Elephas maximus indicus: one gene and its partner. The protein of the gene in region 1 purifies or fractionates together with the protein of each later gene. This does not show direct contact. Links are inferred from orthologs where the notes say so. Each region holds a gene or a part of one and is shown on either strand. Other genes may lie near its edges.

Region 1 (7,890 bases):
TTTCTTTCTTCCCTTTTTAAAATTTAAATGCTGGTCACAACCCACTGAACTGGTTTTTGCAATCTACCAGCAGGCTGTGTCCCAGTTTGAAAAACAGTGCTGCAAAACACACAATAAATGCTCAGAGGAGGAAAGTGAGTTGGTTGAAACTGATAAATATCTGAATGCCGTGAGAGCTCGATTAAACCCTGTTCTGGTTTGAACTTCCTATTGTACAGATGAAGAAACTAAGTCTCAGAGTGAGGGCAACGTAACCAGCCAAGGGCAGCCTGGCTTGCAGAAAACAAAAAAACAGGTTTTGGAGACAGATGGCCTGAGATTCTATTATGTGTCACAGTCATGGTTAAGAGCTGGGCTCTGAAGTTGGACTGCCTGAGTGCAAACCTAATTCCTGACTGGATGGTCCTGAACAAGTTCCTAAACCTATCTGTGCCTCCCCTGGAAACTGAGGATAACAGTAATGCTTATTCACAAGGTTGTTGCGAGACTTCAGGGACATCACATGTGTAAAATATTTAGCATAGTACTTGGCTCACAGACCAACAAATATTTTGCACTATTATTCCAATTCCAGCTCAAAAATGAGCTAGCTGTGGGATCTTAGGCATATTACCTAACCCCTCTAATCTTGCTTCCTCACCTACAAAAAGAGATGATTATCCCTGGGGATGTTGAAATGTTGACAACGACCTGATGAACTTATACATACACAGAACATGGTGCTTGGCAAGGGCAAGTGCCTGATTATTATTCATTTTTTTACTCTTCCCTTTAGACTTCAAGTCAGTTTACCTAAGATGGCACAGACAACAAGCTGATAAAACAGGCTATGGGTACAGGACGCCTGACTTTCACTTCCTTGCTGTGAGACTATAGCTAAGCCTTACCCTCTCTGAGTCTCAGTTTTCTCATCTGTGAGGAATAAGAAGAGGAGGTAGGTAAAGGCCCTGACACACTCTTAGAGCTTAAGAATTGACAGCTGCTGTGGTTTTGGCACTGGTGACCAAGGGGCCCAAAGAAGTTGGCAGAGGTAGCTGGGCTTCCTGGGGCCCCAGGGAAGGGGAGGAGACCCAGACCTTCTGCACGTGGTTGATCTCATCATGCTTGCGCTTTTGGTTGCGAGTAATCTTGCGTTCTGGCTGCTCGGCCAGCTCACTCAGGTACTTCTCTGAGTTCTTCTGCACAGCATCCTTCACTGTTTTGGTCAGTGCCAGTCGATTCTTGTCTACCCATTCGTCCAGTCGTCGGTTAACTGTGGGGATGGGCCATGAGGGTGCTGCCCTGCCACCCTTCTCCTCCCAACCAGGCCGTGGATGCCCCAAGCCACTCACAGCCCACGTAGTGTACATAGAATTCCTCTCGGCCTTCCTGGTCATTTACTCGAGACTGGATCACTTCAGCAGAATCTGTGAAGGAAAAAGGACAGGATCATCAGGAAGGAAAGAGAGGGCTGAGACAAGAGGGATCCTGTACACTGAGAAACAGTTTCCAGATTCCAGGGCTGCATATGAGCTACCTTACCTGTCCACATCTGCCACTTAATCACTGCTACAACCCTGTAAGGTAGGCCAGGTTGGGGCTGTTAATACTTAGCTGAATTTAAGTCTGACTCCAAATTCAATGTTCACTTTACTATACACAATGATTCATTATGTATATACATATCTATATATATATATCTATATATATATAACTGAGCAAGTATTTCAGCTTTCTGAGTCTCAGTTTTTTCATGTATATAATAGAGATAATAGTACCCACTTCAGAGAGTGAGTTAATGCCTGTAAAGTTTTCAGCACAGTGCCTGACATCTAGTAAACAATTCCGTAAACGAATAAAGCAGCCACTGCGTGTCTGGCCCTATGTTGTGTTGCTGGGTACAGAGGACACAGCAATGAATCACAACAGATCCTGTCCCCAATACCCGCCCCCTGCCAGAAGTTCTCAGTTTGATGGTGAAAAACAGAGACAATTACAAAACAATGTTACATATATCACAGCTGAGGTATGAAAAAAACGTGATGGGAACATACAGAAGTGAACGACTCACTTTGCCTGAAGGGAGTCAGAAATGGCGTCATAGAGTATGTGACAATAAAGATGAGTAGGAGCTAGTCAGGTGAACCAGGGGAAAGGGAAAAAACATTCCAAGCAGAAGGCCTAGAGGGTAAAAACCATATGGTCTTCAGAGCACACAGCAGGTCTGGCAAATAGGCCTTTGTCTGGGGTGGCTAGAAACCAGAGAGCAGGTCACACAGATGAATGCCATTCTAAGGCGATTGGGGTATATTGGGGAGATGACGGAAGACAATGGAAAGGAAGGGGAAGCTCATTTTTGTGTTCTGGAAGGCCCTCTCTGCTGGCGGCTGTAGAGGGCAGATGGAAGGGGAACACGCAGAGACCAGAGACTGGTGAGGAAATAGGGTTAACAAGAAAGCGAATGAAGCCTAAGATTGGGCAAGGGAGTTGAACGGGCGCTCTATATACAACACGAAGGATCTGGTGATCGCCTGACTGAGAGGTTTGCACTGGCGCCCGGGAAGAAGTCCAGGGTTACTGGGCTGGCTTCTTAGAGCCCGCAACTCCCGGTTCTCTGTCCTCTGGCTCCACTACCCACGACTGCCAGCCCCTAGCCTTGAACCCGTCCTCAGGCCCCGCCCCCTCGTCCTTTAAACCCCGGCCCCGGGCCCCGCCCTCACGCCAGGTGCTATCCGGCCGCCGACACAGGTACGTTTCTCCGATCTCCACGGTGACCTCCGGCTCGCCGCGCGCTGGGGTCGGAGGAGAGACGCGGCCCGGGGACGGGGCGGTCCCCTCGACGGCCACATTCTCCCCGGGCCCGGGCTCGCCCTCCCCCGCGACCCCTGAAGTCGCCGCCACAACAGCCGCAGCTGCTCCCTGCGCCGCCATCGCTGTGGCGGAAGTGACGGCAGAATCCGGCGCCGCGCGGCTTTTTAGCTCCGGGTCAGCAAGGCGTGGCGGGGGCCGCGTCAGGCTTCACGGTGGGCTCTGTGATGTGGCGGGGCTTCATTGGTTTGTGTGGCCGTCCCCGCGGCGCCCGGACGAGCCTGACGGTTACCGTGCCAGTTGCCTTTGAGTTCCTTATTTTCCGTATGGAAATATGGCTGCACCCTGGACCTGAAGAGAGGAGAAAGACTTTCCTCACGTGGCAACTCAGCTCAGGATTTTTAAAGGCCTCGGTGCCTGAGGAAGACAAGATGTGCCAAATATCGGGGCGCTGCCCCCACGCTGAGCGGTCTCCACGGTTTGCCTGGCATGGGGGTATCAAGAATGTCGCAGGTCTCCCTTTGGGCTTCAGGCCTCCCCTAGCCCAATACTGGCCACACTGTTTTTGAAGATTCTAGACTCTTTCTTGCTCAGCTGGGAAGAAGGTACAGTTGGGGTGTGGGAAGCAAGACGGGTATGTCCAGAAGAGCCAGTAAGTCACCCTCACAGAATATAACCTTTCTAAAGGCTCAGGCCCCCCAAAACCAGACGTCCCCTGAACAGAAACTAGACAAAGGCAGTGGTTACTACAGAGAAAGTCTTGCGCTTAAGGCAGGAATCCTGAAGTCTGATGCTGTGCTGGGTAGGATGTACAATTTTCTGTTCAGTCAGCATTAGTAAAGGAAACCAGATATGTGTGTGTACACACACCACACATACAAGTGTATTGTACAGTGCTAGATGGGGTAAACCAGTTTCTGTTGAGTCAACTCCTGACTCATGGCAACCCTGTGTCAGAGTAGAACTGGGTGCTCTATAGGGTTTTCAGTGACTGATTTTTCAGAAGTAGGCCTTTCTTCCAAGGTCCCTCTGAGTGGACTTGAACCTCCAACCTTTCAGTTAGCATCCAAGCACATTAACTGTTCACAGGACCCAGGCAGGATAGGTCTTCCCATAAATGTTACCTTTGGCAATTCTCTGAGCCTTCTTTGATTTCCAATTTGGTTATTGGGCTTAGAAATAATTCTGAGAGGGGTGTGATCGCTCAAGGCCTAATAATGGGACTCAGAGCTTGCCAGATCAAGAAATATCAGCTGGATAACCAGACTAAACCAAAAGCAAAGAAGTTTCCTGAATAAATCGAACACTTCGAAGGCCAGAGTAGCAGGGACGGGGGTCTGGGGACCATGGTTTCAGGGGACATCTAGGTCAATTGGCATAATAAAATCTATTAAGAAAACATTCTGCATCCCATTTTGGCGAGTGGTGTCTGGGGTCTTAAATGCTAGCAAGCGCCCACCTAAGATGCGTCAACTGGTCTCAACACACCTGGATCAAAGAAGAATGAAGAACACCAAGACACAAGGTAAATATGAGCCCAGGAGACAGAAAGGGCCACATAAACCAGAGACTACATCAGCCTGAGACTGGAAGAACTAGATGGTGCCTGGCTACAACCAATTAGTTCCCTGACATGGAACACAACAGAGAATCCCTGATGGAACAAGAGAGCAGTGGGATGCAGACCTCAAATTCCTGTAAAAAGGTCAGACTTAAGAGTCTGACACTAGAAGGACCCCGGAGGTCATGGTCCCCAGAACTTCTGTTAGCCCCAGACAGGAACCATTCCGAAAGCCAACTCTTCAGACAGGGATTGGACTGGACTATGGGATAGAAAATGATAATGGTGAGGAGTGAGCTTGTTGGCTCAAGTAGACACAAGACTATGCGTGCAGCTTCTATCTGGAGGGGAGATGAGAAGGCAGAGAAGCTAGCCGAATGGACATGGAGGATACAGGGTGGAGAAAAGGAGTGTGCTATCTGATTAGGGGAAGAGGAACTAGGAGTACACAGCAAGGTGTATATAAATTTTTGTATGAGAGACTGACTTGATTTGTAAACTTTCACTTAAAGAACAATTTAAAAAAATATATCAGCTGGGTATCTGTGGGGGATGGCGGTGGGAAGTGCTGATAATTTGGCTCGTGGGAAATGGAGGACTCTGGGGGCTGATGAATGCCAGGTGTCTGGCAGCATAAAAAAGAACCAAAAAACAGGCAAGAAAAAAGTTAAAATTCTATTGACTCTCCCCACCCCTCTCCTATCTGCAAGATTGTTATTTTACCCAGCCAGGGTACTGGTGCCTCATTTTTGACTTAACTGGACACATTCAGTTACCGATGCTATCCTTTCTAGTTAAGGATTAGCCTAGGCCTTACAAACCCCTGACCAAGGTCACTGCATCAGCCTCCTCATTCTTCAATCCACCAGCCACCAGTGATTCTTCTAACATGCAAATCAGATAGTTCCTCCTAGGACTATGCAGGTGTTCTGCCCAGATCCCCAGGATCCCTTTTCTTTGTGTGCCTCAATTCTCTTTGACTTGTACTTTCTAAGGCCAGCACCTGGGGCTCTTTGGTGAGTTGCCTTCGAGCTAATAGAGCTGTTTTGCCTGGAAATGCTGAAAAGGTAAGATTTCAACCCGGGAATTTAAGTACATACCCACTCCCACTTCCCAGCATAGCCATTAAGGAATGATTGTCAAGTGGAAGAGTGAATCAGTGCTGGTGAGCTTAGTTAGTTCTCTTACCTCCAACTCTGAGGCATAACTTACTGGCTCTGGACTGTTGTCGGAGATCTTATCCCTGCTCGACTTCCTCCCCTCCCCTCTCCTGCTTCCCCTACTCCCTCTGGGTCTTTCCTGGGAGCATGTTCTTAACAGATCACTTGGACACAAGTCCTCTCAGGGTCTACTTCTAGGGAATCCAACCAGAGACATCCCTTCTTAGCCTAAAACCTGTCCATGGATCCTCACTGCCTTCAGAACAAAACCCAAGCTTCTAGGCTGCACATTCAAAGCCCTACACCCTCTGGCTGCTGCCTGTTTCTCCAGCTTCACCACCCTGCCCTGCAGACAGAAGTTTTGCAGCCCAGCAAATCATTTCCCACCACCTGCCATTTGACCTCCAGATACAATTTCCTGTCTCCTCTACCAGCCATCACCCTGAAGGGTAGGAAATGGGGTAGATCTAGAGCCAGCCTCAGGAAGTTAGCTGTCAGAGCTCAGAGATGTGAAGGCAGAGACAGAGTAAGACGTTTGCTTAATCCCACCAGACACGCCCAGAGGGCCTTTCTTCTCCTTTCCTGGCAAGATGAGCAAGGGGTTCCCATCTGAGACCCCCCTGGGAAGTTCTGCTTCAAGCATAACCTTGAGCCTACTTGCTGTCTTGGGCCCTTTTCTTTTGCCCAACACCCTGGCCTCCTACCAGAGCCCCACCTTTCTCTGGTAGGGCACCCAGTCCTTGCTGGGGCCTGCCAGAAAACAACCTTGTGTGTTCCTTTCCTTGGTGGCAGCAGACACAGCTGGCGGGCAGTATTTTTAACCTTACTCAGGCTCAGGAATCAGGTGGCTCAGAAAGTTGCCCAGTCTGGTAAGTTTCACCTCCAGAAATCGTGACTGGCAGGAAAGAGTCAGAACTGAGGCCTAGAGCTAGGCCAGCCTGGGCCTTCGATATTGTCTGGGATCCATAAACGTGTACTAAATAAAAGGTCTTCGCACAAGCTGTCAAAGTCACTCTCACTCCCACCAAATCAAATGTGCGAGAGACTTGAACCCACTTTTACTCCTGGGCTGCTGGGACAGAGAGACTGAGACATGAACCATTTAAACTCAAGAATCAAGGACTCTGAACAGGGGCAAAAGCAAAAGCTCACCTGCCTTCCCCACACACAGGGCCCAAGAGGGCATTCAAAATGTGAACTTTAATAATAAACAGCAGGTCCAAGTGGGGGAGGTCCCCCAGGAACAAGAATGATGGAGCTGGTGCTGGAGGCCTCATGGGTCCCCATTTCCCCTTTCGAAGGCCTGGAGGCAGGGAGGATGGGGGTACCCAGCTCCACATAAGTCCATCTGTCTAGGGATCTAAGACCCAAGATGCAGCAGCAAGTGGAACAGGTTGGGACCCTGCCTAACCTGGAAGGTCTTGGCAGGGAACGTGGCCCAGGCTGGGCAGGCAAGCAGGCCAAGGACTTGGGTCAGATGCGGAAGCTCTCCTCCCGGCCATCGATGTGGCGGAGCCGCAAGTAGACATCCGTGCCAATGCCCTGCAGGGACTGTAGCTGCAGGGAACCACCAAGGTACTCCGCGTAGGCCCGTGATGTGGGCAGCCCGAAGCCAAAGCTGAGGGTGGGCAGGGGATAGGATAGGAGGCTTCAGAGGCTTGAGTCCCCTGGGGCCCCCCACCCCTCCATCCTGGCCAGGTGGCGCCTCACCCATGCATGGGTCCTGACTGGCTGCCACTGTGCATGTCCAGGTGGCCAAAAAGGGGGCTGATCCGGGGGTCCTGGGTGCTGGCCTCGGCCGTAGTGAAGTGGTAGTCCATGACCCGATCCAAGTCTTTGTGAGCGATTCCCCCGCCCCGGTCTGAAATCCTGGCAGGATGCCGATAATGGGCTTGGCTCAGTATTGACTCCCCACCTCCCAAGCAGACAGTGTGAAGTCTGCCTTCCTGTTCATTCCACCCAAAGGTAGAATGCTGTCCACCCAGACTCCTGGACGCTGCTTGGAGAGTGTCCTTTCTCCATCCTCACTGATGCTTGGGATGCTGACTGCTTATACGTTCTCACAGGACTTGACATTTACCCTCGGCCCAGCACCACTTACTGCTTACTCCTGAATGTTTCCCAATTCCAGGCCCCTCAGTTGTTGACAGGGGCACTGCCCTGGGCCTGCAGCTGGCCCCGGATTCATTAATATCCAGCTCATGGGAATCTCAGGACAGAGAGTATCTTGTCGGACCAGACACCAGGTCCCAGAGTGAGGCAGGTACTGGCTTAGGTCACACAGTAAGTCAGAATCAGTGCCTGGAACCTCTGTCCACCCCACCCAACTCCCACTCAGGGCAAACCTGATGACGAGATCGATATCATTGTTGGCGATGGTGA
Region 2 (7,224 bases), on another chromosome or scaffold:
GACAATGCCTGCCACGTAGTAAGTGCTCAATAAAGATTTGGGGAAATGAATGAATAAGCCCCTAGAGGTGGAGTTGCTGAATTAAAGCACACAGGCATTTATAATTTGGTGGTCATGGCCCTGGTGCCTCAGTGGTTAAAGCAAATCTGCTGCTAACCAAACAGTGGAACCCACCAGCCACTCTGTAGGAGAAAGATGTGGAAGTCAGCTTCAGTAAAGATCACAGCCTTACAGATCCCATAGGGCTGTCTACTCTGTCTTAACAAGTCGTTACGAGTCGGAATCGACTCAAAAGCAGTGGGTATGGCTTAATTGCCCTCCACAGATATTGTAATGATTTATGCTTTTACCAGCCATACATAAAAATGCCTTTTTTCCTCACTCTGTTGCCAATACAACGTGTTAGCAGATATTATCTGTATTTGTTATCTGTTAGATGAAAATATATCTCAATGAAGTTTAAATGTGTGTCTTATTAGTGAAGCTGAGCATCTTTTCATTTGATTGAGAGCCATTTATATTTTCGTTTTTCAGAAATTTCTGACATACCCTTTGTCCACTTTTCTACTGAGATGTGTTTTTTTTTTTAATTAACTTTTATTGAGCTTCAAGTGAACGTTTACAAATCAAGTCAGACCGTCACATATAAGTTTATATACACCTTACTCCGTACTCCCACTTGCTCTCCCCCTGAGTCAGCCCTTGCAGTCTCTCCTTTCGAGACAATTTTGCCTGCTGAGATGTGTTTTTTTAAAAAACATTTTTATTGTGGAATATATATACAAAAACTTTTTTGTGTTTGCACATATGTAACACTTTAAAAATAAATAGTTCGAGAGCCAATACTTGTGTACCCACTGTGGTTAAAAAAAAAAAAACAACAACACTGCCAGCCACTTAGAATGCGCACCCTCACCCCCATCAACTGCAATTCCCTCTGTCCCCTGCTGCCGACTCTCCTGACTTTTATGGTGTTCTCTTCCTTGCTTTTTCTTACAATTTTACCACCTACCTTTGCCTATTTTTGAACTTTATGTAAATGGAATCATATCGTGTATGTGTGTATATCTATACACATTTATATTCATATATACGTATATATATTCTTCTGTATTTTGTATGTGTGTGTTCCATACTACCTTTGTAAAAATTAACCCATGTTGTTGAGCATAATCATAGTTTGTTCATTTTTATTGGACGAATATACCACAATTTATGCATTTTACACTTAGGTAGACATTTGAGATATTTCCAGTTTTGGGCAATGAGGAACAACACTGCTATGAACATTGTCATACAGTAATTCTGACACTTTAAAGTATGCATTTCCTTAGAATATAGGTCTAGGAGTGGGATTGCTGGGACATAGGATATGCATATCTTAAATTTATTGGATCATATGAAAGTCTTTTCCAAAGTGGCAGTACCAGTGTACACTGCCACCAGCAGCGTATGAGGATTGCACTTCTTTATTGATTGGTCTGTAGGAGGTCTTTACATAAAGCATTATGGAAATTAGCCCTTTTGTAATACGAATAGCAAAAATAATTTTTTTTTTCCCGAGTTTACAATCCCTTTAAAGAGGCACTGATGTTCTTCTCCCTGGAGGAATGTAAATATAACTGGAAGAAATGGAATATTCCAATTTTGCAACATTTAAATGAAAAACAAGTGTTCTGAGTTAACCTTATTGTTCTTAATTTGCTATTGTACATGTCATTAATATGAATAATCATACTAGCAATATTCATGGAATGCCCTGGAATACAAGATGCCAAATACAATAATGACAGTTGAAAGTTGAGTGTTTAGCCTGTGTCAGGCACTGGTTAAAACTGTTACGTGTATTAACTCTTTTAATCCTCACAACAAACCTAGAAGGTAGATGCTATTTTTTGCCCCATTTTATAGATATATAAAAAAAGGAGCTAGTTTGAAGCTGTTCTTCTAGATCTGATTTAAGCTGCGTTAACGAACTCAAAAAAGACTCATAACGGATAAAGATGTTCTCTTTTTATAATATGTGTTTTTTTTCTTAGGAATGAATGTTGCCGCATCCTGGGTTTCTTTTCCCCATTGTCTCAGATCTGCAATATACTTCATAGTTTTCTCTTTTTTCTTGGAAGGAAGACAAGGTATATATATCTCTCTTCAAGCCGCACTCATAATCCTTTGTCTTCTGTGTCACAGGCCAGACTGGAAATCAGAGTGCTTGGGGCCTGTGGGAATGGGGGGAGACAAGGATTAGGGATGAAGGTGGGGACTCACTCTGGTATGGGTGTGTGGAGGATGGGGAGGATGATCTTTTAAGGGTAGGGTTTCTTAATCCGTGGTCCACAGTTTAGGGAGTCCATGAATTTGAATAGATGGAAAAATCTTCATTTTTACTAAAGTGAACAAATTTAGTATTTTCTTCAGTTGTGCATGTAGACAACAAACCATAGCAGTATTAGCACTACCTGTGATCTTGTCACCAAAATAAATCACAGATATTTTCATATTGTATTATAGTTGTTGCAGATATCTTGAAATATTATTTATGCTCATTTAAAAACCAAAAAAAACAAAAAACAAACAAAAAAAAACCACTGCCATTGAGCCGATTCCGGCTCATAGCAGCCCTATAGGACAGAGTAGAACTGCCTCATGGAGTTTCCAAGGAGTGCCTGGTGGATTCGAACTGCTGACCTTTTGGTTAGCAGCCGTAGCTCTTAAACACTACACCAGCTCAAAATTATCATGGTCATTAGATCTGCCATTAGCTTTTATTATTTAATATATTGATAAAAAGTATGTATTACTATATCACACTTTAAAAATATTTTGATAACTATATTTCAATATTTGGTGTCTCATGAATTCTTATGTATATTTTTTATGCACTTAAAAACATTGTTCTGAGACCAAAGGGTCCATATGTTTCACCAGATTGCCAAGGGGGTCCATGGCATAAAAAAGTTAAGAACCCCTGCTTTATGGGTATTTTTTTTGGCTTTCATTCTTACTGTCACAGGGTTACCAAAGCCTGAAGAGGATCACTGAAGAGAGCTTCAAGATCTGTGAGCTTCTCATAGATTTTATTATCCTGTTTTTCCAGAGGCCCTTTCTCCCTTAACTTTCACAACTCTTCCATATTCTGTTTCTCTTACCTCACTGACCCTCTGTTTCTTTTCCAAATGTCTGACTTTAACTGTTGGGTATCTTTTTATACTTTGGTGAGTTTATCCATCAGCATGTCATTGACCACTATATTTAGGCAGAGAACCCTAAATCTCTAGTTCAGATTGCTCACCCTTTTGTAAATTCCTTAACTCCAAGTGCCTCTGGACACCTCCACTTGGTTTTACTGCTTCTATCTGGAACCGAACATATTAATAACTAAGTTCCTCCCCAAATCTGTATCTTGTCCCAATTTTCCTGAACAACCACCTTGCCTGTTCCCCTGATTTTGCGATCATAGAATTATTTAAAAATTTAAATCAGTTTTTTAAAATTGGTAATCTTTGTGAATAGCACAAAAATCAGGATATGCAGTGAAAAATATAAGTCTTTCTCCCACCTGGTTCCGCAGGCACTCAGTTCCCCTCCTAGAAGGTAACCACTGTTACCAGATCTTAGAGTGATTTTGGATTCCTTTTTATAGGGGCTATATCTCAAGTCCTCTGTCTCAGAGATGTGTGCCCTTTTCTCTCCAGGCCCTCATGACCTTATATTTTGTTAACTATACATATGTATATAAATATTTATATGTGTATATGCAGTGGGTTTATATGTTTATATACATGTATAAAATCTCTCCCTGTGGCTTTCCGGCCTCGAGTTTTCATCACGTCGCTTCCTGGATGAAAAATCTACCGGGGTGGGGGGCAGGGGCTGGGGGTGATGGAGAAGAGGACAGAGAGGGGACTTAGGTAGGGGGTCAGAGTGGCAGACGGTTGGGAAGCTCGACAGGGATTCCCTTAGCCTATTCTTCCCACCTCAGGCCCCTTTCCAGTCCCCTAGTCCAAAAGCCTCCAGTTTCCAAGAGCTGAGGCAGAGACAGAGACAGAGAGATATACAGAGACAGAGACGCCGAGGCACCAGCATCCCTCTCCCCCTTCCGTCCAGCCCCGCCGCTCTGACGGACACCCGCCATCAGCCAATGGCGCCCACGATGTGTCCCGGAAGGGCCAATGAGAGACGGAGGAGGGCGAAAGATTCCCCGCCCCCACTTCTAGGCTTGGTTGAGCCGTGCAGGTAGGTCCGGGGCTGGGGGAGCTGCCGTTGGCACTGGTGCCCAGGGGGGTGGGGGCACGAGTGGGTAGGGGTGATGGTGGGGAAGGGGAGGCGGCCCCGACGGGGAGAGCCCGAGGGGGCGGCCCGGCCAGGAGGCGGGGAGCCGAAGGGCCCTGGGAGCGGGCGCCGCCGAGGGCCCTGGAAGCGGCTGGGCTGGGGGAGTGGGGACGCGTGTGTGGGGCACACGGACCCCCGCCCTGCGCCCACCCTCAGGACTGGGCCGCGGGTCGCTGGCCGAGTGGCAGGGGAGCCTGGCTGACCGGGGGGCAGGCCGGAGCCGGGGGCAGGGGCGCCGAGCTGAGCCCAGGGCGCCAGGCCGAGCCGAGGTGGGACGGACCGACGCGGAGAGGAAGGGAAGCTGCATCCCGCGGGCCGCCCCTCCAGAAGCGAGCTGGGGAAACGGCCGGCCGCCGGTTCCCCCACCTTGAGCTCACTCCTCCCTATTCCCCCACCCCAACAATGGGTATGGGGCAGGAGGAGTCGCCCCACTGCGGGGAGGTGGGGGGGGGATTCGGTTTGGGACAAGGGTCCAAGTTGGGGGGAGGGGTGGGAACTCGGGCTCTCCCTTTTCTTTCCCCTCCTGGCTTCGAATGTGGGGATCTTGGAGGGGCGTATTAAACATACCTGAGACTTGGGGCAAGAGTCAAACTGCAGGCCCCCCCCCCCCCGCCAAAAAAAAAAATCCGATGAGCGGTGAGGAAAGTGATGCCATTTCTTCAAAGCCAGAGTGACAAACACGTACCAAGAACAAATCCACTCCAGAGGTTTTTATTTTATTTTTTATTAAAAAACGGGGATACTTTCGTCTTAGATTTTTCGAAATATATTTTAAAGAGGTGGGTGCTGTCATTTTTGTCCCTACTCGGGCCAGCCTCCATTTTAAGCTAAGCAGTAACTGGTTAAGCTGGAATTACATTCAGGCCTAGGACTTAAACAAGGATCCTACAAGAGGTCATTTAGTCCATCCTCCTGCCGCCAGGCAAAATTGTCTCCCTCCCATCATCAAAATTAAGTTGTTTGGTAGATTTTTAAAGATCTCTGGGGAAGAGGAGTCTTTTCCTTGATTGTAGTATTTTAGTCAAGAGATTTTATTTTTCAGTAGAATCAGCTCTGAAACTTAATTTAAGCCTAATAAAACTCAGAGAGGTTTTAATTTACAAAATAAAATTTAAGTGTGGTAAGGGGCTTGTAAACAACAACAACAACAACAAAAAACACAAATTATCTTTCAGTAGTGTTTATGAAGTGCCCGGGATAATCATTTTTCTCTCTGGGATTTTGGTTTTCTAATTCTTGATAAACAACAACAACAAAATGTTTTACTTATTTTATCTAGGATATGTGTATATGTACAGATAGATACATAAACCTACACATTTGCCCTTTCCAAAAGGAGACTGACTGTTTTGTACATCTTTTAGGATGGTGACGCAAGTAGTACTTCAAATCTCTGTCCTGGTAGCTTAAACTATTTGCTTATTGATTTATTTTTTTTAGTCTAAATGTAAGTTCTCTCTTTCAGATAACTTCTTGAAACAAAAAATTTTCCTACCTGCTCATACTTGGTGACTTCAAGGGAATTACTAAGACTCCCTTCTTGCTCATTTCTGAGTATTGTCTGAACTATTCCTGACACTATGAATGCTATTTGGATGCCTCTTAAGGTAAGACATGTTATTTTTTTCATTAATGGCCTCATTTATTTTCTTTAGAATTGAGAACATTTTACTTCTTGAATTTGTTATTCAGCTCTTTACCTGGCACTCCTCTCCCCTCAAAAATTATTGTGTTTGCCTTCTAGGAACTGATTGGTCACTCCCTTTGTATTGCTACTGGTCTTGATTACTGGTGTTAAAATGTTGATGAAGTCCTCAGATTAACTTCCATTATAATGGTTTGTTCAATATTTTAGTTTTAATTATGACAACCCACATAGTTGTAAAATTCTGTTCCATTCCCAGCAGGATGAGCTGGCAATTCAGACATCGAGGTCCACTCTCAAACAGGTGCTTGAGAGTCATAGGTACTAGGGTGTGTCCCACTCTTGCAAATCAGCTGATTCATGTATTGCAAAAGGTGTTTCATTAACCATTGGTTTATTCTGAAACTTTATATAGTATATTAGAACATTCTAAGACTTGCTGGTCTACGTGGACAGCTCTTTTGGAGTGTACGCCTTCTGCTCCCTAGCTTTCTGCATGAAATTTTATGCTGTTTTTCTCAACAGGTAGCATTTTGTGTCAAGTTTCATCTCATGGGGTAAATGCTATTTGGACAGTGTGGGCAGAATGGTCTTCAGGTGAAAACACTCGTTGGTGTGGTTGTTCTCCACTGTCCCTTGCCTCTTTCCCACCCTTTGTGTATAGATGGCTAAAGTATTGTCCATTAAGGCTAAGCAGAGGGCAAAGCCTAAGACGTGGGGAGGAAGGACAGAGAAAAAGATAAGGAGTGATGGAGGTCCTCCACCAGTGTCCCCAGATGGCACAGGTTGCCTTCCCTGGAGCTTGATGCTAGTATAGTTAAGATCATTGTATAGTAATCTGCCTGTGGAATTCCAGGTTGATGCAGTAGGTAAATCACAGTATAAGGCAGTGTCTGTACCCTAAATATTTGGACTTGTGGAAAATCTTTAGGTAATGTAGACTGAGTGCTCATTTTCATTTATGTTCCAGCTGCTATTGGTGGATAATGAGTGCCTGTATTAGTATGAAAAAAGCCAAAGTGGCATAGTTTTTCCAGCCATTCTCTCTGTAGAGTTGGAGGGTTTGCATGGGGAGCCCAGCCAGAAGTCCTGAACCATAGTAATTGCAGGATCTTATTGTACAAGAATGTTTGTTTCTCTTCGGTACCACGTGTTTAGTGCCAGTACCTGGCATCCTCTGTGCTCTTTGGGAAGCAGACGGAAATATCAATGGCTACTAGTTCCCTAGAAACTTAAGGAAATTGGTA

The links.
Region 2: the proteins of KAT8 (region 1) and KANSL1 purify together in Homo sapiens (affinity purification with western blotting; 4 studies listed by BioGRID and IntAct, with this or other methods). This does not show direct contact. The link is inferred for Elephas maximus indicus from reciprocal best matches to the Homo sapiens genes KAT8 and KANSL1.

What each region holds. Positions count from the first base shown.
Region 1 is NC_064830.1:90,352,096-90,359,985, reverse strand, and holds the start of KAT8 (histone acetyltransferase KAT8), read right to left. Parts: upstream 3,012-7,890; 5' UTR 2,911-3,011; coding exon 2,700-2,910; intron 1,407-2,699; coding exon 1,332-1,406; intron 1,253-1,331; coding exon 1,077-1,252; intron 1-1,076. Other genes in the region: BCKDK (3-methyl-2-oxobutanoate dehydrogenase [lipoamide] kinase, mitochondrial), read right to left, coding at 6,982-7,126, 7,219-7,377, 7,854-7,890.
Region 2 is NC_064837.1:52,968,085-52,975,308, reverse strand, and holds the start of KANSL1 (KAT8 regulatory NSL complex subunit 1), read left to right. Parts: upstream 1-4,206; 5' UTR 4,207-4,236; intron 4,237-5,797; 5' UTR 5,798-5,939; intron 5,940-7,224. UniProt on the Homo sapiens protein: Non-catalytic component of the NSL histone acetyltransferase complex, a multiprotein complex that mediates histone H4 acetylation at 'Lys-5'- and 'Lys-8' (H4K5ac and H4K8ac) at transcription start sites and promotes transcription initiation.